3 linked regions of the Rhinolophus ferrumequinum genome follow. The protein of the gene in region 1 interacts with the protein of each later gene in a pairwise test. Links are inferred from orthologs where the notes say so. Each region holds a gene or a part of one and is shown on either strand. Other genes may lie near its edges.

Region 1 (9,726 bases):
CTATAGGGGAACTTTCACATCAGTGGAATAAACTTGGAATATGGTTCCTTTTTCTATGATTGCAGACACTGATGATAAAATGCAAATTGGCCTTGTTCCTACTGAAGTATATTAGACCTTCAAGTGGAACATTTTAAAAGAAAAAACAAAACAAACACCCCCCCGAAAAAAAAACCCGAACAAAAAAATTTCAACCACCATTGCCTAGCAATTTAAAATAAATTAAAATGCCATCTTACATTCAGTTATATCTCCTTCATTTAGAAGGTAAAGAGGTCTAAATTCTTATTCTGAGGAAACCATGGAATTAGGTTGTCCCTTCCCTGTCTGCAGCAGCAGGGCAGGCCTGGAAGGGAAGGGAGATCCCCTGGTGGCCACGGTGAGTCATTTTCATGTTCTGACCAAATTCCCTCTCTCCAGGTTCCATCTCTCATATCTCTCTAACAGAGAGTGACTTTCCTCAATTTCTCTGTTCTCTTCCAGACCACCTACTGACACGACCCACCACCAGGGACATCCCGATATAAACACAAGTGGTAAACACAGCTGCATCATGGTGCTGGGTGGCAGTGATAGCCATATGGTCGGAGTAACTGTTGAAACACCATATTCCTATATAGACCCAACTTTATAGTTTTTCTTAAATAAAATATGCAAATAGCAAGTAAGTAGAAAACCACAGAGCTCTGCTTCGCTGTAAAATCAATTGGAGACATTTGACTACACTCTGAGGACTTTGCATACACAGAGCTTTGAAGCTGACATGGATGCTGAAGTCCACGTAAAGGCATTTGCTACGATCACACAATAGCAAGTTTAAGGTAAAAACAACATGATGCACAAGGCTTCCCTAACCAGTAGGCCGAATCCAAGAACTACTAAAACAGAGCTGTAATTGTTACAAACTTGGAGGATTTTAAATTGTCCTTGTGATCTTAAACCTACAAGACTCCAGTGAAGGATGACAAAATTGGGCGGTATTCGGTGAAACACCTCAGTCCTTCCTGCATTGTCGAGATTTACATATCAGATTTTGCTCACATTTTTGTGCCCGCAAGTGATCATTAGGCATATGTTCACTTAAGGGCACAAAATGTAAATGTAATATAATGTAACTACATCACTGGAAACACAGATCCCCCACAACTCTGCCACTATCATAATGTATTAGTCATTATTTTTTTAGTTTTGCATTCAACACTTATTTGTTGAGCATCTACCATGTATGAGACATGGGTGAACAATACAAAGTTCCCTTTCCTCAAGAAGCGCATATCCTAGTGGGAGCAGACCAAAAAAAAGTGAAGAAATAGATAATATATTTACAGGTTGTGGTTAGTGCTATTACTGGGTGGCTGATGTATTAAATACCTGCTATATAAGGCTCTACAATGATGAATAAGACAGGAAGCTGCCAGCAAGGGACTTATAATCTGAGTTAACAGAAGACCAAACAATTGTCAGTCTTTGGTAAAAAAGATTGCTAAGGTATGGCAAATTATAGTTGTTTTGAGGATTAGAGTCTATACAAATTATGGTCCATCACAAACTGATATGCCATGCACTATGAAACACTTAGGTGTTCATTTAATGTTAAAAAAAAAAATCTAAAGAACAGGAAACTGTGCCTGTCATAGTATTTCTTAAGACTAAAACCAAAGGAATTTAATGCGTCAAAGTTATTTTTTCTAGGTCAAACTAAATCTCATGCAGAATTGAAAACACAAAGCTATAATGATATTTAATTGCCTCAAAAGCTACTGCTGCAATTTTATGTGTAATTATTTTATTTGCTGCTAGTTTCTGCATATACTGTGCCAACATTTGCTAGCTGGCTTTAGAATACAGACCAGAAGTTTAAGAAAAGAAAGAAAACACCACCAGTAATTTTCATATTTGCGAAAGATTCTTTCCTCTTTTGAGTGTTGTTGTTTCAGTAATACAGTAGTTTTCTTCTCCTTCTCCTTCTTCTCCTTCTTTTTTTATTAAGGAAAGATCTGTGAGTCCTCAAGTGCCATTCATACCAGCTTATGGCAGGATCACCTAACTTGAGAAATGGCCTGTCACTGAGACCTTAAGGGGAGACAAGAAAAGGGTTTAGTTTCACTGTGAAGTGGGGTACTACTGCCAGGGATACAGAAAACTTAATTTCCTTTCAACCTCTGTTGCCAGGTCTCTGACTCATGTTTCCTGTGTGTTTTAAAATGGATGATCCTGGGACAGTTGAGAAATTGCGTGCTTGAGCAACATTTTGACTTGTCTTCCGATGTAAAGGACAAAAAAATAAAGTCATGCTAAGTCCCAGGACTCAAGGGGGCTGTACGAAGTATCAACTTCTTTTTCTTGGGCTGTATTTCTCTGATAGGTGTGCAAATTCAGCACATAAAAGATATTTGAGTAATAATAAGTATAGTTTGTTTTCAGTCTGTGATAATGACTATCTTGGCTGCATTCCTGCAGAAGCCATCCCTGAGACATGGTTTCAAGAGCTAGTATTTAACTTGGGAGGTGATACCAGGAAACACCAGGAGGAGAGTGGGGAAGCCAGGTGGGGAAAGGAAAGGAAGCCAATAAAAAATGTGCTATGAAGCCATTCCTGAAGATGCTGGAGCTGTGTCAAGGGCAGCTCTGGAATACATTGAATAACACGCATCTGAGCTACTCCAGGAGGGAGGCAGACTGGCTGGCTGAAGCCTGTATGTGGTCCCATGAACTGCCTAGTGCTTCCAGCTTGTCCTGGTTCCAGGAAGAAAGCCCAGAGGCACAAGTGGGCAGGCTTTCCCAGAAAGCAGAGGGTACAGCAGAGAAATATGGGTTAAGGTTGATGGCCTCTGCCACTGTCCATCCCTTGCATGCCATGTTGTGTTCAGTCTGTCCTGTCACTGACTTTTCACGCTGATGTCCAGTCATCCCCACATCAGGGGTATTGATAAGCAGAGCTATGGGTCCTGCCACTGTAGGTTCTGAGGTCATGATGATTTCCATTATTTCCTCCCTGATCACCCATTCTAGATTCCCTCACCCTCAAATAGCACTTTTGCTGGCCTGGGCTGCTTGATGAAGTGGCCCACAGCTTTGTCCCTGCGTCCCTCATCCCAGACATGGGTCTAGGCCCTGGTTGCCATGCCCCTGTCAGGCCAGGGTTGCTGCATTGCCCATTAACTGATATCACCAGGCATGAAAAAGATGTCCAGTGCATGTCCTGAGTTCCAGAAATAATTTTCCCTGCCCCTATTTCCTCCTGATAATAAGGGTCAGTTTTTTGTTGACTGAGGAACACAAATAAAGAGAGGCTTTAGATTTAGGTGAACTTTGTGTCCCCTGGCTCCTCCAGCAGAGCGTCCTCCCCTGCTGGAGGAGCCAGGACTCTATGAGGGACACAGCACCATACGATGGTGTTAGATTGAAAATACGTAGTACATACCATAGCACAGCATCCTAACCTGCAAAATGCCCTCCTCAAGCTGGAGCCTCAGTTGTGCCTTCAGAGGCCCTTCTAATGTTCTATCAGGATGGCAGCTTCTGGGTGTGTGATGTGTGGCACAATCAGTGATCTTGTGGGATAGTCCCCTTTGTCGGACCTCTCTCACTCTTTAGAGGTCCCTGATCCTAGGTGATATCCTGGGCAATTCCACGATGATAGATCAGACACTATGTGAGCAATTCAACAGTGATGCTTGCCAGGCCGTGCAGGTAGGGAAGATAAACCCAAACCCAGGATAAGTATCTGGGTCTGAGAAAACCAACTTGCCACCAAATGGCTGCCTGGTCTCTTCGAGGGAAGCACAATGCACATTGGCCCACTGTAGCTGAAGGGGGTGGTCGCACTGTCTAGATCACCTTGTTGGCAGGAGTACGTGTAGCTCCATCCCTGCCACCATGGCTTCCCCATTCATAGGCCCATTCTAAAACACTGAGGTGATCCAGGACAGAGGCTGGTCAAATCATCCTGGGTACAGGGGCTCCCTGCTGCAGATGCTCTCTGGTGGGCATTCATGTGACACATACAGATTGGCCAAACACAAAATTTCTGTGAGGTGCACATGTCAATTCTTGGGGTAAGCTGGCAAGGCCCCACCATGCTCTGCCTCTGCCCATGGCTACGCTCCTCTCCATTCAGCTGTAACCAGCCACGCCAACAGGTCTCCTACCTTTGGGAACTTCTAGACCGGAAGCAGACGGGATACTCTGGGTCCCATATAGTCCAAATGGCAGGCCAGCTCTCCCAAGAACTTTGCCCCCATGCTCAGCTCCACTACGATGGCAGCAAGCACAGCTCCCAGTATGCTTCAGGTCAGCCAGTACCAACCAGTCTCACAGATACTTGGGTGAATCCCTTCCACGCCTTGAAGGAGTATCTGAGCCCAATAGTTTGGGCCTCTCTTTATAATGTGGAGTGACTTTAGGGTGACCATACATCATCCAAACAGGGACACTTTTGACAGTAAAAGGGGCACTCTTTATTATTAAGCCAGGATACCAGAAAAGACTCAGTTATGTCACTGGGGTCACCCTAGTTAACTGCCGCCTTTTCCAGTTTAAGTGGCCAGTTCCAGGACAACTAGAAAAATCCCTCTGAAAACCCCATCACGTGAGCTTAAACTCCATTGTCCTCCATTATGCCATTTCTTTGCATAGACTCTCAACTCCTTTGCTCCCTGCTCCTTATGCCTTGTAAAACTCCAACCTTCGTTACACTAATTTTCAACTACCTACCTACACCAGAACAGCCAAAAATGGACAAGCATGATGACTGGCTCCATTTTAAACTTAGGACAGCATATCCCAAGAAGGCCTTCAGTCCTGCCTGGAAATCTTACCGCGTTTTCTTAGTAATATGCTTCACAAAATCCAATACTAAGATTTCACTCTTTCTCCTCAAACCTCCGTTGTCCCTCATCCTTCCTATTCCCGGATGACCTTGCTGCTTCTTTTGCTAACAAAATAGAAGCAACCAGAAGAGTATTTTCTCATCTTCGTCACCACCTTTTCCCATCCCCGCCATGGCCACGGTAATTTCTTGCAGACTGCTGCAGTCGCTGTGACATTTCTTTTCCTCTTGCCCCGGTACGGTTTACCCCCCGCCCCGCGAGATCCTGGAAGGAAGTGACTGCCGTTGGGTGTATCCAGCGCACCCGCACAGCGCCTAGGCCATAGAGGTGCTCACTGAGTTTGTTGAATTTAAACAATCAACCCGCAGGGTTTCCAGGCTGTAGCCTGGCATTCTCCTCCGTAACTTGCATGGCCCTGTGGCTTTTGTGTGTCACTTAGCCTCTCCGGGCCTCGGGGGGAGTCACGGCGTCCTGAGCCAGCGCAGAGCCCACCACAAACGCCCCGAGGGCCCTCCTCCGCTTCCTGGAAGGTATCTGAGGGCAAGGGTAAGAACAGCGCACCGCGCACCCAGCGACGTGCATCCTGCCCCCCTTCCCCCCCCCCACGCCGCCCGCCGCCCGCCGCCCGCCGCCCGCCGCCCGCCGCCCGCCGCCCGCCGCCCGCCGCCCGCCGCCCGCCGCCCGCCGCCCGCCGCCCGCCGCCCGCCGCCCGCCGCGCTCTCCTCCCCAGAGGGCGGCTCATCGAAAACTCGGCGCTCTACTACTCGGCGGATCGACGCCGTCGGCGCTCCCAGCGGGCGGAAGTGGCGGGCCGCGGCGGTGGGGCTGCGACCCGAGAGCTGCTCCGAGAGCGGCCGGAGCCCTATCGGAGCGGGCTGAGGGGCGGCAGGCCGGCTGCAGGTATGTGGTCCTGGAGGTCCCGGCGGGGGGCCCGCCCGGGGAGGCGCGGCCGGGCAGGGGGCGAGCCTCGCTCCTGGAGAGGCGGGCGGGAGTGGCGGTCCGCCGGCGCCCGTGGTCAGCCCCTCGTCCGGCTCTCCAGTCCCTGACCGTGAGGGGGAGGGAGCCGCGCCGTCGCGTCCGCGGTCCGCGCCCCTCGCGGGACCCGGGCCTCCGGGACGTTGGCCCTCGTTCGCCTCACCTGCTGCCTTGCGCGCCTGCGTCGTTGTCGCGGAGTTAGGTTTCAGAATTTGTTCGCAGAGCGAATGTGAGGCACGTTTTGCTTAGGTTTGCATCAGTTTAGAGCAATACCGAGCATCTTCTAGGTGTCAATCACTGTTGTAAGCATTTAACATTTACTGACTGGTTTAATCCCATTAGCGGTAGGTGCTGTTGCAGTATACCCATTTTCCAGAAGGGGGAACAAGCTCAGACTGGGGTCTGAGCTTGGTTAGGTAACTAGCCTGCAGTATAGTTAGTTACTCAGTGCCTGCACCCCCAAACCACTGTGCTGTCTCCAAGGTAAGCTCTCTCTTGCTTACCTTGGTATCGCAAGATTTAGTAAATAGACACTTTTTTAACTCCAATAAACAGTTCTTGAAAGAGCTTGTCTTAAAATGGAAATAAGCTATTTTTAATTGCTAAAGGTTAATCATACTAATGAGTATGAAAATAACATTTTCATTGTTTTTATGAATCCGAGTAAACCTACAAGGAAAACTTTAAAAAATACTTTAAAAATCAGCCACACCTTAATTAAATCGTTTGGGTGCACTATATTGAAATGCTAGTGCTCACTGAGGTGAACGTGGATCTGTGTCCTAATGAGTAAACAATACTTTATGTTATCATAGTCTGGCCAGGCTCTGTGTAAATGACTCTAATGGCAAAGGAACTGAAACCCAAAAGCTTCCCAGGGATTACCTGTATGTTAAAAGTTGACTCAAAGGGTGGCAATAGAAAGAGGATGATATGTGTTTAGTACTTAAATGTTCTATTTAAGTAGAAACTTACTAATTTTAAGCAGAGAAGCAGGATCCTCCAGTGTAACTTGGAACAACTATTGGAAGTTTCAGAAAATAATTTTTTTCTTTGTCAAGTATTTCCTGTACTGAATATCACTTTGAACTATTAATATCACCTCTCAAAAAGATGATTATTAACCTGCTAAGTTAAATTTTCATTCCATAGACATTTGAGAACCTGTTGTATATGAATCTTACGGGAAATGAAATTGGTACTCAAAAAATTTTGCAAAGGCAGCCTTCTAGTAAAGGACCGTGAACAGTTTCTAGTGTCATCCAGTAGCAGAATTAGGCCATATAGGAAATGCTAGTTACACAATTAATCTCTCAGTTACTCATGCTTTTTCGCCCATTCACCAGCTTACTTCTCATCTATCCTGGATTCCTGGTACAGCATCTAGCACATAGAGGAGCTTAAATATTTATTGAATGGATGAGTTATAGGCCAGTGTTGAGTAGAGAGGATTTTGCAATTGACTGGAAAGGGAAATAACATTGATGACTCTGCTAAGCAGTATGCTAGAAGTGTTGCTTGTTCTCAGACCCTGGGGAATGTGCCCATGGATCCCCTGGAGTGCCTGGTGAAATCCAGTGGTAGTAGTGTTCAGTTATAATCACGTGATTCAGTATATGTTTATGTTAATTTAAAAGAATTATTGATAAAACCACATAAAATTAAAGTAATTGTAGAGAACGGATGAATCTTGAAGCTGTGGACATACTCATATGGCATCCTTGGATTTCAGTTTGAAAATTAGTCAAAAGGTATTTTGGCTTAGTAGTCGAAACAACCATTTACTAGTCCATGCACTACCACCCACCTGCTTTGTAGCCTGAGCTGAGTTACTTAGCCTGTTGGGCTTCAGTTTTCTTTTCCCTGTAGTCAGAGAATATACAAAACTAGATTATTTCTAAGAGTTCTTCCTGCTTTGGAAATTTCCAACTCAGTGAATCCTATAACCACTTAGCACTTGTCTTATCCTTGTCGTAGGGGCTGTAACTATGACTGGTATTTACATGTCTGTCAAAAGACTAAGCTCTTGTTGGACAGGGTTTAGTCTCGGTCATTTTTGTATCTCCCAATTTTAGCATACAGCCTGACACACACATTAGAAATAAAACAATGTTAGCCTACATTCAGAAGGGGCATTTTTGCCCTCTCAAAGAATGGCTAAGAACTAAACTATAGTACTGAGTTTAAGTACAGCAGGAATTCAGAGAAGGGAAGCGTGTATTGGGGTGGAGTAATTGGGAGGCTTCATTGAAGTCAGCCTGTGATGCTGCCCTTCAGAGGGAAGGCAGGTGAACATCTGGGCAGCACACCAGGAACAAAGGCTCGCTGGCTGGTAAATGAGAGCATTTTGGATTATGGGGTGCCTTGAAGGTCAGGCACGGGAATTTGAAACCGATTTATTAGCCCTCCCTTTTTTTCCTGGAAAATTGTATTAGGTTTGCTAAAAATCTTCACGAACATTCTTTAACTTTTTGCTGGGGTGGGCCATACAGGTTGCTTTATTTATGGTTTTGGTTTCAGTAATTCCTCCTACTTCCTATTTCCCACTTACAATAACTCTTGGTTACAAACCGAGAGCCAAGAATGGAAAGAACAGTGGACATCAGGACTTAGGAAAACTGGGCTTTACTTCATCAGAAGGTAAACTGTCCCAAGGTAGAACCAGGCAGGCCCCTGGAATCTTACCTGGCACTGACTTAGCCTTGGTCATCACTATGCAACCCTGCATGCTTCTGCCTCTCTTGCTTGCTAGCTTTGCTGTGTTGGCAGGTTTGGCCCTTAGTTTCATCTGTAAGCTTTGATGAATTTTTTAAAGGCCTTTTCCACTTACAAAGTTCTGTGATTTTGGAGGGTATATGATTTTAACTTTTATTATATTATAGTTTTACTGAAAGGCACAACAAGGCAAAAAGCCAGGAATATTTGCTTTTAGTTTAATTTTAATGAAAGCCCCATGTGATTGACATGATGTGTATCTGGATAAATTGGGGTCTCAGCAGGAATCAGAATTCATGCCAGATGGTTCAAATAAAGAGATTTTAATAAAGGGACTACTTGCAGAGGTGTGGGCAGCATGAGGGAACAAACAAGGGATAGTGAAGCCCAAAGAGAAACTAACAACAACTGGAAGGGACAAAAGAAGAAGGCAGACCCTGCTGAGAGCTGTAGCCCCAGACTGCACTATGGCTATTGGCTGAGATGGGTACTTGGTGGTGGGGGAGCAGGACTGACATGCCTCAGTCTGAAACTGGTCCCCTTCTGAAACCCAGAACTCAGACCTTCCACTCTGTGCTTACAGTCTTTGGTCTTTCTAAGCCTCACTCAGTTACCTCAGTTACTCCTCATCTTTGGTCACCCTTTCATACCAGCATGCTCAGTTGTACCATCATCTTTCTGTAGCCTTTTGCGTGCAGATTCTCAGCCCTGGACCATCTCAGTTCTTTACCTTCTTTAATGTCTGAACTGAGTTGGTGACACCAGCTGGGGAAAATCCTAGCATCTAGTTGTATACCCCTGTAAATTCATGGTCACCAATTTCCACTGGTCATCAAAGAATTTCCTAGAGTTTTCCTTGTCAGCACTTGATTCTTTGCAGATTCTATTTGAAGTATTTTCTACTCTTCTCAAACCCCTCATACTTTCACCTAATCTATACTCTTGCTGCCAGCATTGGGGTTCTTGATTTTTCCAGGATAGAAATCGAGAGGAAACCCCAGAAAAATTTCCAGATCTTATTAAGCTTATGATGGAGCACAAGGGAGGCAGCACAGAGGAAAGGAGGGTCCTCCGAGCTGACTTGTGGGCTGACTCTGCTTGGCTGCTTTTGTAAGGTGGGGACCAAGGGGGTTTGCCCCAAAGTGGTGGACTATTTGAAAGTGGCAGGCTTTCTTTACTGGTACAGTTGCCTGGTAACTGTGTT
Region 2 (10,438 bases), on another chromosome or scaffold:
TCCACTCCTAGCTATATACTCAAGACAACTGAAAAAATATGCCCACACAAAAACTTGTACATGAATAGTCAGGGCAGCTTTATTCACAATAGCCAAAAAGTAGAAAACTCAAATGTCCATCAGCTGATGAACTGATACAACAAAATAAAATGCAACCGACATGGTAGAATATTATTTGGCCATTAAAAAAACCCAAAGTACTGATACATGCTACAACACTGATGAATCCTGAAAACATTATACTAAGTGAAAGAAGCCAGTTATTAGGTTGGTGCAAAAGTAATTGCGGTTTTTGTAATTATTTGTAACCTTTTAAACCGCAATTACTTTTGCACCAACCTAATACAAACGACCACATATTTTATGATTCTATTTACATAAAATGTCCAGAGTAGACAAATCCATAGAGACAGAAAGATCTGTGGTTGCCAGAGGCTGGGGGCAAAGAGGAATGAAGAGAGACTGCTAATGGGCGTGGGGTTTCTTTTTTGGGTGATGAAAATGTCCTGGAATTAGATAGTAGTGATGGTTGTATGACCTTGTGAATATACTGAAAAACACTGAATTATATACTTGAAAAGGGTGAATTTTATGATATATGAATTATGTTTCAAAAAAGCTGTTATAAAAAATAGGTTTCTACTTCTTTTTCTCATATAATTCAATGTTTTTTAAAATGCCAACTTCAGTTAAATATTTTTTAAAATCCCTTTTCAATTTTATTTTTTGAATATATATATAGAATATATAGATTGATATATATATAGAATATATATATTCAATTGTAGGCAAACAAGGAGCTTACTTGTATATATAGAATATATATATATCAATCTATATATATACATAATCTGTGTGTGTGCACGCGCACGCGTGTGGGTGTATTACTATTTTCCGAAGGAAATGTAGTATTTCATGTGTGAGCTCGCTTAGGAAATTCTACTTCTAACACCATATCTATGGGAAAATAAATTATGAGTTTTAAATAAATGACTTACAATGAATTTTTATAACAAAATGACACTTGCAAACTAGGTATCTCCTCTATTTTTCTCAATCTGTGAAAAGTTGATCTCTGTTCCAACTCAAAAAATTTTCGCACAAAAATCAGATCTTCCCTGTTTCACCGCATCTCAGCCTCTAGTCCTCTGACCTCCCTCTCCTTCCTATTCTCTTTGCCCATCTGGCCTCCAGCTTAATTTCTTTTCCAACCTAGCCTGGAAGCAGTGTTCATTTCTCTACACCCACATTTTTATTATTACTCCTTCAATTATTTTGCTCTGTTTGTAGACCAGTTCTCCCTGTTACAAATTTCCACTCTCCACTTCTCTTGGGCTAACGAATGCTGTTTAAGAAGGCCATATGTCCTTCTTCACTGCATTCATTACAAATGTCTAAGACCAGTCAAAGCTAAACTTTCAGTGTTGCTCAGCAATCCTTGAACATTTCCTTCAATGATTCCTCTTCCTACTCCCCATCAATGTTGTTGCAAATGCTTATTCTTTCAACCCCCAACTCCAGTGTCTACCTCCTACCTCTCTGCAAATGAACTTCACCATTTACTCTGCAGAGAATACAGAAGCCATGAAGTAGAATTTTCCCCAATTGCTTTCCTCTCCCTCTCTACATCTTCACTCCATTCTGCCTATTACAAAATATCCCTGTTATTAATTCTTTAGTATGTTCTACGACCTACACACTATGTTAAAAGCTCTACTCCATTCTATGCCCAAGCTACACAAGATACTGGTCAGTTTCCTATCTCTGAGTTTTGTTCATGCAATTTCCTTTTCTTGGAATTCTTAACTCCCTGGGAAATTCCAACTCATCCCTCAAAAGTCCTGCTAAAATGTTATCTCTTCTGTGAAGCCGTCACACACACAAAAACAATAATTCCCTTACTACTGCTCTAACATTTCCTCTCTACTTTGCTAACATACCACTTTTAAGTGATATATTCTAGTTAGTTGTATGAAAAGTAGCTCCTTGTAGGCAAACAAGGAGCTTACTTATCTTTGTATTATTACTTATCTTTGTATTATTAGAACTTGGCAAAGTTCTAATTTGGCAAAGATGTAGCAGGCATTTAATAAATTAACCAAAATGATAGTACCAAATAACATGATAACTGCTGCTTCTCTAAGATTCCCCCTTTCCCACTCTCACATCTGTAAGCAAATGTCCAGGTTCAAAATCTGTCATATTTGATTCTCCTCCTCCATTGACAACATGAAATTTGCTACCACATTCTGTTGATTTCGCCTCATCTACACATAAGTTGTCCTTCCATTCTGTTCCCACTGCCAACACACTAACCCAGGTTCACATCAACTATATTTAACACTACAGTATCTGATTATCTCTTTGCAAGCTTCCACAACTCCAAGTCCCTCCACAAACAAGTAATATTAAAACAGCTTTCATCACAACATGCTCAGTGTTTCACTCAAGTTCCCAAATACAAACCTCCCACTCCAAACCCTCTCATTCATTCTGGTATTTAAGTCTTTGCTTAGGTGCTTTTCCATATCCAAACCCAAATTACACTTCATGGTTTATATGAAGTTGATTCAATAAAGATCTTCATCCAAATTGATCTCTCCTCTCAATTGCTATAACACTTACTGTATTAACTAATCAATCAAGCACTTGCTGTCTAATTGCTTCATGAAATCCTAAGTTTGTGGATCTCGAGAACTTTCTTGAAAGAGAGAGACAGAGAGAGAGAAATCCAGGAGGAGAGAGAGACACTCGGGCATAGTTTTATGTTCTTTCTTAGTAGGTACCTAACAAATACCTCTTGAGGTAACCTCAATTGAATAGTAAAAACTGGTCAAATGAATGATTGTTAGTGGTCAACATTTACCACACAATCCCTCCTTGGTTAAAAGTACAACTGATTGTATAGTAAGTGGGGAAAAGGGAGGCCTGGGAATCCCTCATAAAGGAGTTAGGCATAATGAGAGCCACTACAGGACCCCCATTCATTCAGTGAATACTGATGTCTACTAAGTGGGAGGCACTGCTCTAAGTTACAGCGGTGAATATGACAGACATGTTCATGAAGACCCCCCACCGCACTTACATTTTAAGGGTGCAGTGATTAACTCTACAGGCTTTAGAGTACTTTTCTCTTAAGTCAATGAACACGTCACTAGAGATCCTCTAAACCTATCTTCCAGATTTAAGAATCCATGTCTGACCACATTCCAGAGGCAGGCACACACGGCTTCCTCTGTGTCGGTTCCTGTTTCCTTACATTCAGTCGGACCTTACATTGCATGACAAGTAGCTGGTCCATGTGAGTACCTATGTGGATTGGGCCCCGTATGCTCTCAAGACGTCTCAACGCGTGGAGCCCTGTCATCCAGAAGAGAAAACTGTGCACGGACACAGGGAAATGTACGCCAGACATTTAGCAGGAAATGTGGATTTGGACAAAGGAGAAGGCACTGTCACGCCCTCCTCTCCCGGTCCACGCCGAAGAGCAAATGATCAGGGCCGTTTTGCCCAAAGAAAACATGGTTGCTATGGGCGGATCCATAAAGAGGTACGTGAGGATTGTTCTCCCAAGCCCCAGGACAGCAAAGAGCTGAGGTGCTACGAGCGGGCTTTGCGCCTTACCCAGACAGGCGGGGAAAGGAAGGGACGGCTGATAACGGAGGGAGGTAGACCCCGGGAGAAGAGCCACTAGGGGAACTGAGGAGCCTCCTCAGACCATGGCGCCCGCCAGTCCGCTCGTCTGTCCGCCGCCGCCGGCACTACTGGCAGCCGCGGCCCAAGGCTTACCGCAAGGCGCGACCCAGCCAGGCTGGGCCGAGGCGGCTGTTCCAAGACAGAGACCAGATGCGGCGGGGCGGCCACCGATACTAAGATGTGCCCCTCAATGGAGCGGTGAACCGGAAGCAACCGTTCCACCACTACTTCCCATATCCGGCCATGTGACAAACCTCCGCGCCGGAAGTCTATCCGGTGGAATGGTGATAGGCGTGGGGAGGCGGGGCAAGGTCTCGCTGGAGGGCGTGTCAAGGACAGGCAGGGGCGGGGCCTCTCGCTTGGAGACTGACCTGGGACCTGGAGATTTATTTCATTTCATTTTTTTTTTAAAGTTCTTTGGGGTGACAATTATTAGTAAAATTACAAAGATTTCAGGTGTACAATTCTGTTTTACATCATCTATAAATCCCATTGTGTGTTCACCACCCAGAGTCAGTTCTCCTTCCATCACCATATATTTGATCCCCTTTACCCTCATCTCCCGCCCCCCCTTCCCCCTTTCCCTCTGGTAACCACTAAACTATGGTCTGTGTCTATGAGTTTTTTCTTCTCATTTGATTGTCTTGTTCTTTTGTTGTTTTTGGTTCATATACCATATATCAGTGAAATCATATGGTTCTCTGCTTTTTCTGTCTGACTTATTTCGCTTAGCATTATATTCTCAAGATCCATCCATGTTGTCACAAATGGTCCTATTTCACCTTTTTTTACAGCCAAATAGTATTCCAGTGTATATATATACCACAACTTCTTTATCCATTCATCTATCGAAGGACATTTTGGTTGTTTCCATGTCTTGGCCACCGTAAACAAAGCTGCAATGAACATTGGAGCACAAGTGTCTTTATGGATAAATGTTTTCAGATTTTTTGGATAGATACCCAGGAGAGGGATTGCTGGGTCATATGATAATTCTATTCGTAATTTTTTGAGGAACCTCCACACTACCTTCCATAATGGCTGCACCAGTCTGCATTCCCACCAAGAGTGTATGAGGGTTCCTTTTTCTCCACAGCCTCTCCAACACTTGTTACTATTTGTCTTGTTGATGGTAGTCACTCTGACTGGGGTGAGGTGATATCTCATTGTGGTTTTTATTTGCATTTCTCTGATGATTAGTGTTGTTGAGCATTTTTTCATATGTCTATTTGCCATTTGTATGTCCTCTTTGGAGAAATGTCTCTTCAGGTCCTCTGCCCAATTTTCAATTGGGTTGTTTGTTTGTTTTTTGTTGAGTTGCATGAGTTCCTTGTATATTTTGGATATTAGCCCCTTATCGGAGGCACTGTTTGCAAAAATCTTCTCCCATTCAGTTGGTTGCCTCTTTATTTTGTCGATGGTTTATTTTGCTGTGCAGAAGCTTTTAAGTTTCATATAGTCCCATTCGTTTATTTTAGCTTTTACTTCCCTTGCATTTGGAGTCAAATTCATAAAATGCTCTTTGAACCCAAAGTCCATAAGTTTAGTACCTATGTTTTCTTCTATGCAGTTTATTGTGTCAGGTCTTATGCTTAAGTCTTTGATCCATTTTGAATTAATTTTGGTACATGGTGACAGTTTCATTCTTTTGCACGTGGCTATCCAATTCTGCCTGCACCATTTATTGAAGAGTCTGTCTTTTCTCCATTGTATGTTTTTTGCTTCTTTGTCAAAAATTATCTGTCCATATTTATGTGGTTTTATTTCTGGGTTCTCAATTCTATTCCATTGGTCTATGTGTCTGTTTTTCTGCCAATACCATGCTGTTTTGATTATTGTAGCCCTGTAGTACAAGCTAAAGTCAGGGAGTGTGATACCTCCAGTATTATTCTTTTTTCTTAAGATTGCTTTGGCTATTCGGGGTCTTTTGTGGTTCCAAACAAATCTGATGATTTTTTGTTCTACTTCTTTACAAAATACCATTGGGATTTTGATGGAGATTGCATTAAATCTGTATATTGCTTTGGGTAATATGGCTATTTTAACTATGTTGATTCTTCCAATCCATGAGCACGGAATATCTTTCCATTTCTTTGTGTCTTCTTCAATGTCTTTTAAAAATGTCTTGTAGTTTTCAGCATATAGGTCTTTCACATCCTTTGTTAAGTTTCTTCCTAGGTATTTTATTCTTTTTGCTGCAATTGCAAAAGGAATTGTTTTTTGTATTTCTTTTTCTGAGATTTCATTGTTAGTATATAGGAATACAATGGAGTTTGTACGTTGATTTTGTAGCTGGCAACTTTACTGTATTCGTTGATTGTTTCTACTAGCTTTTTGGTGGAGTCTTTAGGGTTTTCTATATATAGCATCATGTCATCTGCAAAGAGTGACAATTTAACTTTTTCATTCCCAATTTGGATGCCTTTTATTTCTTTCTCTTGCCTGATTGCTCTGGCAAGGACCTCTAACACTATGTTGAAAAGCAGAGGTGATAGGGGACAGCCCTGTCGTGTTCCTGAACGTAGAGCAAAGAATTTCAGTTTTTCACTGTTAATTATGAGATTAGCTGAGAGGGCTTGTCATATATGGCCTTTATTATGTTAAGGTATTTTCCTTCTATATCTACCTTATTAAGTGTTTTAATCATAAATGGATGTTGTATCTTGTCAAATGCTTTTTCTGCATCAATTAATACAATCATATGATTTTTGTACTTTATTTTGTTTATGTGATGTATCACATTGATGGATTTTGGTATGTTGAACCATCCTTGTGCCCCTGGGATGAACCCCAATTGGTCGTGATGAATAATCTTTTTAATGTATTGCTGCATTCGATTTGCTAGAGTTTTGTTTAGGATGTTTGCATCTGTATTCAGCAGAGATATTGGTCTGTAGTTTTCTTTTTTTGTGTTATCCTTACCAGGTTTTAGTATCAGGGTAATGTTGGTCTCATAAAATGAGTTAGGGACTACTTTCTCTTTCTCAGTTTTTTGGAAGAGTTTGAGCAGGATTGGTATTAGATCCTCTTTGAAGGTTTGGTAGAATTCTCTAGTGAAGGCATCTGGTCCTGGACTTTTGCTTTTGGGAAGGATTTGGATGACTGATTCAATTTCATTACTGGTGATCGGTCTATTTAGATTTTCCAATTCTTCATGGTTCAGCCTAGGAAGGCTGTATGTTTCTAAGAACTTGTCCATTTCTTCTAGGTTATTGAATTTGGTGGCATATAGTCCTTCATAGTATTCTTGGATTGGAATGATTTTTCATTAAATATCTGCATGGCTCATGACTGCATCCCTTTCAAGCCTTCACCCACGTGTTACCTCATTGAGGTCTTTCATGATAGCCCTATTTAAGGTAGTATTCTTTATCTTTCTTTTTTGCTTTGTTTTCTTCGTGCTTCTTATTACATCTTGACATACTATGACATTACATCCTGATGTATATGTTATTTGTTTGTTGGTTAGTATATTTGCTCTTTCCCTTTCTCTAGAATGGCTTTTGAGAGCAAGGACTTTTGTCTTTTTGTTCTTTGGTGTATTCCCTGTTCCTAGAACTCATACCAATGCTCTTATTATGTTCAGTGTACTATTCTAAGCACTTTATATTGACTAATTTAGTCCTCACAACAACCCCATAAGGCAGGAATCTTTATTATCCTCATTTTAAAGACTAATAAATGGAGGCATAGAATAATTAATTCTTTAGCCTAAGGACAAATAGGAGGCACACATAGTAGTATTTCAATGACTATGTCTTTATCTTACCACAGTCATCTGCACGTATAGACTTGGGAAGCAACTTAAAATAGTGGAAAGTACATGGCCACTGGGGCCATGAAGACCTGGGTTTAAATCTGGTCTTTATTGGTTCATTGACCACAGGGCAAGTTATTTACCTCTTCTGAGCCCCAGTTTCCTCATTTTTAAAATTAAAAATAATCCCCATCTTTTGGGACTCTCATGCAATTTGCTATTTCTTATAAAGCCCTTGGCACATCGCTTGGCACATAGCAAGCACTCAAATGGTAGCTATTATTACATGCCATTTAGTTTAGAAGAGTGAACTGGATAGATTTATGTCCTTAAAAAACATATAATAGTCACTCAGGCCCTGAGGTCCTGTTTCCCTTTCATAGACAGAAGGCTGTACATGTTAACATATATCATGTATGAGGCAATCTCATATTCGGATAGCATGAAATATTTTTTCCATTGTTAATAAGCTCCAAGGGAAAAGCTCTTCTAAATGGCCAAGAGTGGTGAATATTGATGATTTAACAATACTGGCAGGATTACTGAAGTTAATGTTTCCTTAGAGAAATGACTCAATACAGTATATCGATCAAGCAGAGGTGTGGAGTTTGTGGAAACTTGATGATCGCAGAGCACTCAGAGTAACCACACTCATTTGGTAACTTGAGGGAAAAAGGGAGTCCATTTTCCTTAGCTTGAAAGCCAGCAGGAAGGAAGAAGTGTCCTACTGTCTCCAGGGTTCTGCCTGATGAAGCACCAATGGACGGGTAGCGCACCTGGCTTTGTGTATTTGTTTAGTGAGAAAACCCCATAGATCTCACAGAAGTGGGCTTTCACACAACCTACTTTGACCGTGGTCAAAACTCTCCCTTAATTTAAGTCTGATTGGTTTCAATTTGAGTATGAGGTCAAGGGTCTTTATATGTTTGAAGAAATCATATGGGTTCATATAATTCTACTTTTTCTTTATTCCTAATTATGTGGACTTTTATTACATCAGTTAGTTTGTTTTTCTTTTTTAAAATTTTTTAAGCAGTGTTTTCTTGTAATTCAGTTATGCACATTCCTATCTAAGACATGAAAAATCTTTTCAGATGTTATCAGACTATTAGTATCAAAACAAAGAACATCAAGTTTTTTTTGTTGTTGTTTGTTTGTTTTTTAGAACAGTGAGAATCACAGTGACCCACTTTCCATATTCTTTCTCTATAAATTGCTGTAGCAGTGACAGCATGACAGAAGAGCTTCTACTGTTATGGGCATAAAGCAATTGGTGTTTGTTTTAGGTTTTATTAGAAACAAATGTAAATATCCCCACATAATACTTTTTATTTTTTTGCAACTTTATAGAAGGAAGCCAGAGAGTCACTAAATTAGAATGGTAATTATCTACATCACTCTTAAATAAATATTAAAAATAAATATTAACCGATAACAGATGCACATTAGAACAACACAATAAGTTGTACACGTACAAACGAAGGCAAAGGTTAAAGTTGGCTTGCAGAATCACATTGCATCTCAAACGTTTTTTTAATGCAGCTGCGTTATGCAATGTACATATTGTGGGGTCATTGTGTCGTACAAATAAAAGGCACAGTGCTAAGCTCCCTATCAACGTTTGGAGAGATTCTCTCATAAGTGCGGAGGTCATCTCTGACCTAATTCTGAATCTCTTCAGGGAACTGGCCACCATGAACAAAAGTAAACATATTTTGGCTTGAAGTAGAGGTTAATGATTCTCAGTGTGGCTTTGTTACTACTCTTGTGTCCAGCACTAGACACAGGATTTTTCTCTCCCCTTGCAGAATTCAGTAGCAATGCCACCAGCAGGCCTAGACCTGTACCCTAGAAGTGTAAGCAAATCAAGATAAATATAGGGGCACCTCCATTCGGGACCCCCTCCTGTTCGGGAGCTCTGACCCTTTGCTTTCAATAAGCTATCCTCTTAAAAACAAAAAAAGATAAATATAAATAACTACACAGACTTGACCATATTCATTTTTGCTGAAAATCAGATTTCATGTTGAATACTCTGCTTTAAACTTATATTTCTCCTTTATCCCAAAGAGTTATAATTTTTTTTTTAACCATTTGTATGGCTAAAATTCGGTGGGAAGATATATTTTCACAGATATTAAGTAACAGTGTTTAAACAACAGTCCGTATAAGTAACTTTCTGGTAAGCAGCACTTAAACTGTAGAAAGAGAAGGCTGTTGATGTTGTTATCGTTATTTAGTGACATGGAGTGTAGATGATTAATTTTTGCTGTTAATGTAGGTCGTTGAGGATGAAGGACTTCCTAGGAGAGGCATGAAATGAGTCACCATGACTGTTGTTCCCTTAGAAATGTAAACAAAACCTGGTACTTCTGTAATAAGCTCGTTATCTATTTTTCCACAGAATCTTCAATCTTTCAGGCAAAATATTCAGTCTTGGAAGGAAGCAAAAAAGAGATAGCTAGACCATGAATTAGGAAGCACAATTATTAGTAGAAATTCAGTAAAAGTGGTTTGCAGTAAATTGTTCAGCCTGGAACGGTTATATTAGAGCAATGTCCAAAAACTTGATATTAGAACTAGCCATCGATAAAAAATTAGAGTGCCTGGAATAAATTTCCATCAGCACGGCTGAAATAAAAGATGTGTTTCTGGAATCTACGGATGTCTATGAAATTGTCTTTGTTTTCTTAAAAGTGAAACGTAAATGGGGCTTGTCAATATCTGAACTGGTGGAGAATTACAAGTATTTTTACTTGGGTTAATATTCGTATCAGTATTAATTTTCAGGACAGCTTATGGTTTTTATTTGCCTAGTTATTTGTTTAAGTGTGGGGTAAAGTTTAAGAACTTGAAATTTGAAAGTACAATGGGTTATTCATTTTCTTAACGTTTTCAATGGTGATTTCTTTTTTCCCATTTTTTTTTTGTTGTAAAATACACCTAACATAAAATTTACCGTCTTCACTGTTTTTAAGGGTGCAG
Region 3 (10,140 bases), on another chromosome or scaffold:
GCTAATCCACAATAAATGACTGAACCAATCCTTTCGTTTTTATGGAGGGGGGGAGGAAGGAGGGCGATGATTGGAGAGGTAGGATGAAAGAAAAGAAAGATACTAGCTCATAAATTAGGGCAGCAAATGGGAAAGGGGCCAAAAAGAGGAGGAAAGGAAATCACATTGTGCTGACTTTTTCAGTCTGCCTAATGGCGACTCTACTGGGTCAGGATGAACAAAATAGATGCTCAGAAAATTTCATTATCTGAAGTTACAGTCTAACATGATTTATGAAATCTCTTGTTATAAATATTCTCAATTCAAAGGATATTTGTTACACGAAAATATTAGTCATAGAATTTTTAGAGATGGAAGGAAACTTAGAGGTCATTTATTCAGGCTTCAGGCTCAGGATTCCTCAACTCTTCTCTCTACCTACAGACACTTCGGAAAGGTTTCATCTAGAAGCTAAAAGAATAAAGCCCTTCTACCCAGATAATTAAAATGTGTCAGAGTTTCAAAAGGAAAATGAAGAAATAGCAAGACAAATAAATATTGTCCAAAGATTTAAAATAACTAGGGGCGGGCAGCAGGATCTAGGATTTTTCAGCTACTTTGCCAGTGAGTTTTATTTTTTAAAATACACAGATTAATGACTAATTTTAAGCTGTTCATCAAGGAGATCATTTTGGCAATAATTGTTACCAATTTGTTTTAGGATTAAAAAAAAAAACAACTCAGCTGTTCCATTTGGTGTAGGGACCAGCAAGATTTAAATTTCTAATTTCCAAAGCTACAGCATATTTGGCTAATTAATTATAGCATCTGACAATAAAGAACCAGAAGAAAGAACATGAAGTTTCAAGCATAATATTAAAAGTTTCTAGAATAGTAAAAACTCCAGTTGCATTTTGATCTCCTACAGTACATACTTTAGTAAGTTGATGAAACAAAGATTTTTCTCAATAATGTTGGGTCTAAACTTTAAAAAAGAAATTGTGGTAGTTGGCCTGTAAGAATGCCAATGGTCCTCAAGCTCTCCTCTTGTCGTCAGTCCCCTCCCACGTTGTTTGGTCTATGAGCTGGTAAAAGTGATGGTATGTCACTTCCAAGATGAGATACCAAGATACCACAGTTTCCACGTTGATTGTCCTCTTCCTTTCTCTCTCTCTCTCTCTCTCAGCATTTTGGAATTGCTGTGGTAACCACATACCATAATGTCTGGTATTGACACTCAGCTTCCACACTCTCTTCATCTTTCTTTCCACTCTCACATCTTGCCCACTGGTCCCTCTACTTTTGGAATATCTAAGAAGATGATATAGATATAGATATAGATACAGATGATATAGATAAACGATATAGATATAGATATAGGTAGATATAGATGATAGATATAGATATAGATATATCCACTCTTGTATTCCTAGGTACCAAAAGAACTGAGGACCTAAAGGTCAAATATTATCTCCAAGACCAGATACTTATCCGGTATTAGTTAGATCTGTGAGTCTGTGCCAAGCAGATCGCTGATGCTCAGTAACATTCGTTTCCCTCCTCTTCCTTACCCAGCCCACCCCCACTCCAGGTGAGTTCCATTTTCTGTGGTACTTCGCTCTCTTTGAGTCAGACTTCTCAACCACATGAACTCACTTTAAAAAATAAATCCAAGTGTCTTGCATATCTAAGAGCAGAGGCTGTTTGTTTAGAAGTACTTGGAGCCAATGAAAAGCAGGACTCTTGTACATCATCTTGAGAGAAGTTACATTGGAAACCTTAGAGTTCACCAAGATCTCTTCCAACACTGCAGTTCTAGGTTATTATATTATCTCCAAATTGAGCTTTCAAAAAAGGTTTCCAACAATGTTTCCAAATTCTACGACTGGATAAGAATTTAGTAACTGAATTCAAAGAGGTATTGTGGGATTGAGTGATGTGGCACAAAGGATTATCTCAACTCTGGTTTAAAAATTTCCAGTCTCAAGCCATCTTCAGCCAAGGCAAGAACCTTAAAGAATGAAGGCAAGTATTTAGAACTTTTCTACTTCTTCCACCTTCTACCAAGATCCATTTAGATCCCATTTAAGGCTCTAATTCGTGTTTTCCTGTCTTTGAGTGTTTAGGTCCCACATTCCCAAAAGATATCTAATAACTATACCCCCACTTCTTCCAGACAAAATCCTGGGAAAGGTTCTACTCCTCAGGCATAGGAAAATCTTGCTGAGATCTCAGACAAGAGTACCTACTTTTCCAATGAGAAATAGTGTGAACAGAAAAGGAAGGTGTCATGCGGGGCGGCCTACGGGGCGGCCTGCGGGGTCTCTGCTCCCACTCCCCACATAAGAACGCAGGATGTGGCTAGGCCAAAAAGGAACCCCCACGGAGCCATAGGTAGGGGAGTCATACCACTATGGTTTCACCGGAGGCTGGATTCACACGTGCGACCTGCTGTCCGCTTTTCTGCCAACCGACCGACTCCCCCTCCCCAAAGCAGCGGCAGTTATATCGGTGGCCAACTGGCTAACCCCAACCGGCTACAGCTGACGGTCAACTAGCCACAGCCGACGGTCATCTACTACCCGAGCCAGCACCCCTCCATGTAAGGCCGAGAGCCTGGAAACTGCTCTCCAGAGCTTTGTCCCCACAGAAGGAAAGACCCAAATGTGGCCAGAGGAAAGTCGACTCACTGACTCGACTAAAACCACAGAGGGGATGTGTACCCCTGGCCTCATTCCCACCCCTATCTCCATCCCACCCCCACCTCCATCCCACCCCCACTACCACAAAGAACGCCTTAAACATTCCTGGCTCCTTTAAGCCCACAAGTAGGATAAATATCACCTTTTTACAGCTGTGGATTCTGCAGCACAGAGAGGTGAAAAGTCATACTCAAGATAATCAAGTTTCAGAACCAGCATCAAACCTAGGTCTTCACACCCTGCCCTCCTGTTCTTCCCAATATTCAATGCTACCTTCCACAGCCGTCCCATTTCTGGAACTTCGATATTCTATTGGTTCCAGGTCTAAGAGACATGACCTTGTTTCGAGCTTTAACATCCAAGAACCTTACTGCTCTGCTTAGAACATGGGTCATTTATGCACCTGAAAGGTATGCTGTCCTCTCTGATAATCAGTGCCCACTATCCATCTCCAAAACTTAACAAAAAGAAATGAGGTTAGGAAACTAGGACAAAGCAGGAAGTTCACTGTTCTACAAGGGTTCAAATCAAGTCACAGATGGCTCAAATGAACAATCAGCCAAGCCTCTTCCATTGGCAATTCTAAATCAGCAACAACACAAGACCTTCTCCCCAGAAACTCAACGATAACAACATCAAAGTTACGTTTCCAGTATTCACCCAAAAATTAGCAAAGAGAGGGACACTTTTAAACAAGTAGTCTGGGCGCTGCTGCTACCTCTGCCACTAGCAGTTCTGAAACAACCGTGGATAACCTTATTTATATACCTATAAAAGGGCAAGAAGAGAGGTGCTGAACCCTGGTCCAGGCAAACAGTTCAAGTCCATGGTGATTCCTATTAGAAGCCACGTTCAGTGCTAGTATGTATCATAAGGAAATTGGGGGGAGGGGTCGCAAAGAAACAACTTTATGCTCATGTGCAAGACAGAACCAAAAACAGACCCAGCAACTCAGCAACTTTTGGAACACGTCCCCTGTTCAGTCCAAGTTTTTAAGGTACTAATAAGTTTTTGCAACACTTTAGCTTTTATCCTGCCCAGAGCGCCAACTAAGGGGCTGAGGAAGTGAACAGGAAGTGGAAGCAGAGGCCATTTGTGGGAAAAGGGAAGGAGCGGCGAAAAGGGAGAGGCTGGGGCGCCGCCCCCAGTTCCTCAGCTCCAGACCGGTCTGGGAGGCCCGGAGGCTTTCTCCCGGGTACCTCCCGGGGCCGCTGCTCCAGCGTCGCCCTCCGCCGGCCTCGCGGCGCGAGGTATTCGACCGCCGGCCACAGCCCAGAGCGGAGAGCGCGGGGTCAGACGGACACCAAGCTCAGGGCGACGCACCCCACTTCCCCAGCCCGCGCCCCACCCCGCTCCGAGGGCTCCTGCCCGCGCGCGGACATTCTTACCTGGGCTCCGTCCGGCGCAGCCTCGGCCGTCCGCAGCCGGCCCGCCGATCTTAAACCCGCCCCGCCCTCTCCTTTGCCTCCTCCAGGGGCCGGACCCCAGCAGTCCCCAGGCGATTTGTCATCGAGTAGTCTGGGCTAGCTTCCCCACCCCCGAGCGCGCCCCCGGCGTCGCCTAGGCAACCCCACCTCTCGAGAGCGCGCCCTCGCTTCCGTGCCTGTCCTGGGTGGCCACGCCCACTGAGAGCCTATTACCCAATCCGAAGCAGAATTTCCAAGCCTCAGGAGGCTGGGGAGAAGGCTTAACCAATGATAAGCCACCTCAGGCGGGAGGGGCGGGCTCGGCACGCCTACACCGCCCCCCTCCAGTGCCTACTTTCCACCGCCGGACGAGTTGCACGTGACCACTGCTGTAGTGGAGGAGCCAGGTCTGGGGTCCCTGGGCGTGGGCGGCGGAGGGCGCGTCCGTCGTGAATTTAGATGAGGGCGAGACCAAAGTAGTGGAAAGTAAAAGGGAAGGACTGACCTGAGACAGAAAAGCAAGGAAAATGACGATGCGGCGCGCGGGTGTCCAAGGGTTCAGGTGGCCCGTGGGACGCCGGCCAGGGTCTCCTGTGGCGCGACCTCCGCCTGCCGCCACTACTCGCTTGGCTAATGACGTCTCATTAGCAGCAGTGGAGTTACTTGATCAATTCTAGCAATAACTGGACCCAGATTACAAGGTCAAGAATTCTAACCCCAGCGGTAGCCTTGAGGCAGGAAGTGCAGTGGGCAAGCTCATGCCCGACAGGTTTTTCTCTCACAACCTGCCCCCCGCCGGCCATCGGCCTCCAAGGCACGGAAACTTTTCATTTTCTGTCCATATAGGGTTTGACCTCGGGTTGATTTTCCTAACTAACCTCCCCTTCCTAGAGCTGAATCCTCCCACCCCCCTCCGCCTTCTCAGGATTTTGGCCCATCTGACCCCTCCGCAAACCTCACAGCGGGACACAGTGTATTACAATTCCTTGTTTAAATATCCACCTCTATAATTTCTGGGGAAGGAAAGTAGTGCTTGTTCAATTTGATACTCACAGCAGCTAGCACCATGTAATTAATTCTTTCGTTGTTGATAAGTACACATTAGGATACATGTGTATTATATGAGAGGCTTTGTGCCTTGATTAGATTGCTATGTATAAGCAACTAACAGATCCAGGGCTTCCACCAACAGCTTTATCAAAAAGCACAGATTTAACTTAGTCTTAACAGGCTTAACAAAAAAAACATGTAACCAGGATATGCTAGTCTTAGTCTACAATCTTAAGTGTTCTGTTTTTACCCTTTTCATATACATTAAAGACTTTTATTGCACACTAATTATAGGACAGAAATTCTGCTAGTTACTAATAATATAAGGGAGAGAAGTAGGAGGAGGTTTCTCAAAAAGGAAGCTCTCTGGTATTTATAACCTAGAAGAGAATTCAGACCCAAGACTAAGGATTAAGTGCACAGGTTTGGAATCAGGAAGCATGGGTTCAAAGGAGGGCTCTATCATATAAATAGCAATTATCTTAATTAAGAAATTGCTTAACCTCTGCAGACCTCAGTCACCCCCTCCCCCCCAATAGTGGCACCTCCACACTGTAGGTCTGAAGATTTTTTTTTAATGGGGAATATTGGGAACAGTGTTTTTCCAGGACCCATCAGCTCCATGTCAAGTCGTTGTGTGTGTGTTGGGGGCGGGGGTCGAGCCTCACTGGCCCATGTGGGAACCGAACTGGCGACCTTGCTGTTATGAGCATGTGCTCTAACCACTGAGCAACTGACCACCCAGGTGTGAAGATTTAAATGAGATTACATGTAAAGCTCTCAGTGCAGTGCTAGGAACTTTGTGAGTGCTCAACAAATGTTAGCTTATATTGTGATTGCCACCAGAAACCAAGATGTACGCTCAAGCTTGTTAATCCAAACTAGAAGCTGCGTTTCCTTCCAAGGCCCATTTTATCTACAGGTGTGTGACAGTATCAGTGCAACCAATGCTGTGTGCAGCCTGGCAGAAAGGACCTGCTGTGCTGGTACCGTCTTATAAATGCAAGTTTAGACAGGAGAGCTGCCTGCAGCAGCCCCCCCAAGTGACACAAGCAGTTAACGGAGCAGGATCAGGGTCCTGGGCGCTGAGTAGGATTGAACCTCCTAGCTCCCTGTGAGGTTATGTGACTGGATCTAACCAATGACTTGTGAGTGGCAGTGACATACATCAGTTTTGGACTGGAGACTTTATTTACCATTGCAAGGCCCTCCAAAGCTCTGGTATGGCCACTGGGAATGTTTGGGGGTGTGGCTGCTCCATCAGCCTGGGACCCTACAATAAGCAACCCCTCCCTGCCCCCACCATCCTGTGATGGACATTTGGCATGATTGAGAAGCCTTTGTGGTTTGAAGGTACTAAGATTTGGAAGTTGTTTGTTACTGCCACATAGCTTAGCCTTCTCTGACTGATACAAGGCCCTGCAGTGTACCAAGCTGGGGACACAGTGGTGAACAACTCAGACAAGCACAGATAAGGAACCAGGAAACAGACAAGCAACTCGATACTTACAAATTGTGTCATTGCAAATTACCTGAGACTGGGTGGCCAAAAAGGCCTCTCTTAGGAGGTGACATTTAAGTTAGGACTTGAAGGATGAAAATAAACCAATCCTGGAAAAAGTTGGCAGTGAAGGGAGGGAGAGGAGAATATTTCCAGCGGAGTAATAAGCATGTGCCAACTCCTAAGACAGAAAAAAGTTAGGTACTCTTGAGAGTAGACAGGAGGTCTGGATGAAATGCCCAGTCATTACGAAAGTGAAGCCACCCAAGGGTGGGGAGAGAAGTGAGAGCCAGATTATGTGGGCGGGGACTTCTAGGTTATGATAAGGAGACTGGCATTTATTCCAAGTGTGAAGCGACTAGGGGCATTTGAGCCAGGATAGTGACATGCTTTGAGTTAGGTTTTAAAAAACCTAGGTTTTAAAAAGCCAGACCACTCTGGCTGTTTAAAGACCACTCTGGTGTGGCGAATGGCCTATAAGGGGTAGATGTGGAAATGGAGATTAGGAAGCTATTCCAGGGAGTCCAAGCAAAGTGGGGTCCACAGGACTAGAAGGGTAATCAGGCATAGGGAGATTGCAGAGTGAGGGGTGCAGAGGCAAGGCTGGAATTTGGGCACCCCCCCCAGGTGCTTTGATCCCAGAGAGGTGGGGACTCAGAAGCCAGGCAGGAATGGGGAAGGGTGCATAGAGGACAGCTGACCAATTTCCTAGAACATCAGCCAGCAGCCAGCATTAGAGACATGCTCCCATTAGCTGGCAGTATTATATAAATAGGTGGCATTGTTAGAAAGAGTCTGACAAGCCTCAGCATCCCTGTCGGCATTCAATAGTTGGTGACCACCTCAGTTAGAAAATAAAGGGGGCTGCCAATTTGTAGAGGGAAAAAGAAAGCCATTCTTGCCTCCCGAAGGTTACGGAAAGGATCTACTGTAAACAGCAACACTGGATGGAGTTCATCTTCAGTACTATGCCTATCTGTCTATTCTGTGCTTCTCCAGCCCTCAGTGTCCAAATGCTCTCTCCCCACTTCCTGCCATCTCATCCTATTCTCAGTAGTGGGGCTCAGACGCAGGAATAAGTGACTAATGACAGCTCAATGGATGCCCACTCCTTCCTGCCTGTTTTTATCATCCAGGTGATCAAAACCAAAAGTCCTAGACCAAGGGAAGTGCTTAGAGGAAGGAACCGAGAGCTTGCATTCGCACTGCTGGGACGGACTGATTTATCCCTCCTTCGGAAAAGGTGTTGAGAGCTTCTATTCCCTCATTACCGTCTTTCTATGTTTCTAATGCCCCAGCCAGCCTGTAGGAACTAACCAGATGTTCCTGGGAATTGCTCTGCTGGAGAGGCAGAGACCCAAGTAATTAGCTAGAGGAGGAGTTTTCATCTTCCAAAAGAAATTAATCTGCTTGGGAAACACATTAGAAAAAAAATGATTCTATTTTAAATTATGAATTCGCTGGCGTTATCTTTCTGCCATCGTAGTTTACAAAGAATTATCTCCCAGAAATGAAGTCAAGTCGTCTTGTCATTGAGTAATAAAAAGTCTTCATCATTACCGCTAATCCCCACTACCTGCCGGCACACGTTCGCCCCTTTCTTCCATCTGCGTGGAGACACGTGTGCCTTGCTTCCAAAGAGCACCGTAAACAGCTGCCCAGGATCTGACCTCCAGGTAACCAGATAAAAGCCCCCGCAGGGTGACAGCTGCAAAGCACTGATCGTGAGATAAAACAAGATTTGAGCATCTGGATTCTGTGTGCTGAGATCTCTCCAACATGAAATATTATCCAGTCTCCCACGAAGCCAGGCCTATCTGACAGAATGAAAAGACCCCGGGAGCCCCTCCCTGTCCCAGCTAATGTGTTCCCGGTCTCTTCCTAAGGTCTTCGTGCCAGCTGCTTCCGCCGTGGTGACTCCTGGGCTCCCTGGGGACCCACCCAGGGAAGGGTGGTTCTCACTGTGTTTGCATCTCACCCATCCAGTGCACGCTGATGACACCCCGCCAGATCTAGGTGTTCCCTTATCTGCAAATGCATATGACCCACGGAGTCAGCCAGTTCTGGGCAGACAGACAGACAAAGAGGGATGAGGAAACTGTTGGCTGAATCCCTCCATGTCTGGCTCAGTTAGACATTTGCCATTTGCTCTCATGACCCCTCACTCAGTCCCTCAGCTGCTATTCCTCACTTGACAGCTGAGGACCCTGGGCCTCAGGGGCCAACAGGTCACAGAGGACAAGGAAGGAGAGCCCGAGGTCAGACTCAGGCCTGGCTCACCCTGGACCTTGGCCGTGTGCAGCTAGATCATTCCTGTGACCTCTGTGGGGGTCCAGTGCTCTCCAAGCCCTTTACTCACCTCCACCTCCAGTGCTTAAGGCTGGTTCCAGCTCTCCAGGGTGGGGGGCGGGGCTGCATTTCAGCCCTTCTCTGTCCCCTCTCTCCCCCTCCCCAAGCCCAAGCCCCTCTTACCCATCGCTGCCCCAGCAGCTGGGGAGGGGCAGTGCCCTCCTGGGCCTGAGGCTGGCCCCCAGCCAACCCCCATGCAGCCTCTGTCACTGCCCCCACCACCCACAAAGGTCAAACCCTTCCCCAGTGATTTTTTTTTATTAGCAACACTTTTTAAAATGTTTTCTTTTTTAATGGACAGCTTCATCTCTTCCCTTGCGTCTACTCCCAAGAGCAGGGCCAGGCCAAAGGGTTGAGGGTCTGAGGAATATGGGGTGGCCCATGGGGAATAAGGAGCCCCTGAGCAGGGACACCCTTGCTTTGAAAAGAAAGCAACACTTATCTGCAGTCACACCCCAACCCAGAGTTCCTCTTCCTGAAGCAAGTCCAGCAAAATATTAAGATGCAGTTCTCTGGGGTGGGTGTCAGGAACAATTCCCCTTCCTGGAATACGTTTTTCTGTAGAGTTTTAATTCTTTACAATGGCCAAGAGGAAATTTGGCAAACAGGAACAAAAATAGCAGCAATGAGGTTAATGTAGCCCCAGGGATAGGAAAGTTGCATTCTCTGCAGGTCCCCACGGAGGCCAGGCCCCCACTGGGAAAGCTCCAGAAGAATGGGATGGCTAGGGTCACAGTCCTGCATGGGGGAGGGGGTGCGCATGAGACCTCCTTCCACAGCTTGTGCAGGTGACACATCCATCCTTGGCACACAGGGTCGTAAACCACAGGAAACAATTTCCTGTCCAGGTAGTTGAGCAGAGCCAGACGCAGGGCCTCAGGGAGTTGAGCAGAGCCGGACGCAGGGCCTCAGGGAGTTGAGCAGAGCAGGACGCAGGGCCTCAGGTCGTTGAGCAGAGCCGGACGCAGGGCCTCAGGGAGTTGAGCAGAGCCGGACGCAGGGCCTCAGGTAGTTGAGCAGAGCCGGACGCAGGGCCTCAGGTCGTTGAGCAGAGCCGGACGCAGGGCCTCAGGGAGTTGAGCAGAGCCGGACGCAGGCAGGGCCTCAGGTCGTTGAGCAGAGCCGGACGCAGGGCCTCAGGGAGTTGAGCAGA

What was found.
Region 2: the proteins of EXOC2 (region 1) and EXOC1 interact in binary tests that used the Homo sapiens proteins (3 or more experiments, as listed by UniProt). The link is inferred for Rhinolophus ferrumequinum from reciprocal best matches to the Homo sapiens genes EXOC2 and EXOC1.
Region 3: the proteins of EXOC2 (region 1) and RALB interact in a two-hybrid assay, tested with the Homo sapiens proteins (2 studies listed by BioGRID). The link is inferred for Rhinolophus ferrumequinum from reciprocal best matches to the Homo sapiens genes EXOC2 and RALB.

Annotation. Positions count from the first base shown.
Region 1 is NC_046292.1:93,601,691-93,611,416, forward strand, and holds the start of EXOC2 (exocyst complex component 2), read left to right. Parts: upstream 1-5,109; 5' UTR 5,110-5,378; intron 5,379-5,580; exon of another isoform or gene 5,581-5,732; intron 5,733-9,726. UniProt on the Homo sapiens protein: Component of the exocyst complex involved in the docking of exocytic vesicles with fusion sites on the plasma membrane.
Region 2 is NC_046288.1:17,844,149-17,854,586, reverse strand, and holds the start of EXOC1 (exocyst complex component 1), read right to left. Parts: upstream 3,928-10,438; 5' UTR 3,625-3,927; intron 1-3,624.
Region 3 is NC_046291.1:91,169,427-91,179,566, reverse strand, and holds the start of RALB (ras-related protein Ral-B), read right to left. Parts: upstream 4,217-10,140; 5' UTR 4,070-4,216; intron 1-4,069. UniProt on the Homo sapiens protein: Multifunctional GTPase involved in a variety of cellular processes including gene expression, cell migration, cell proliferation, oncogenic transformation and membrane trafficking.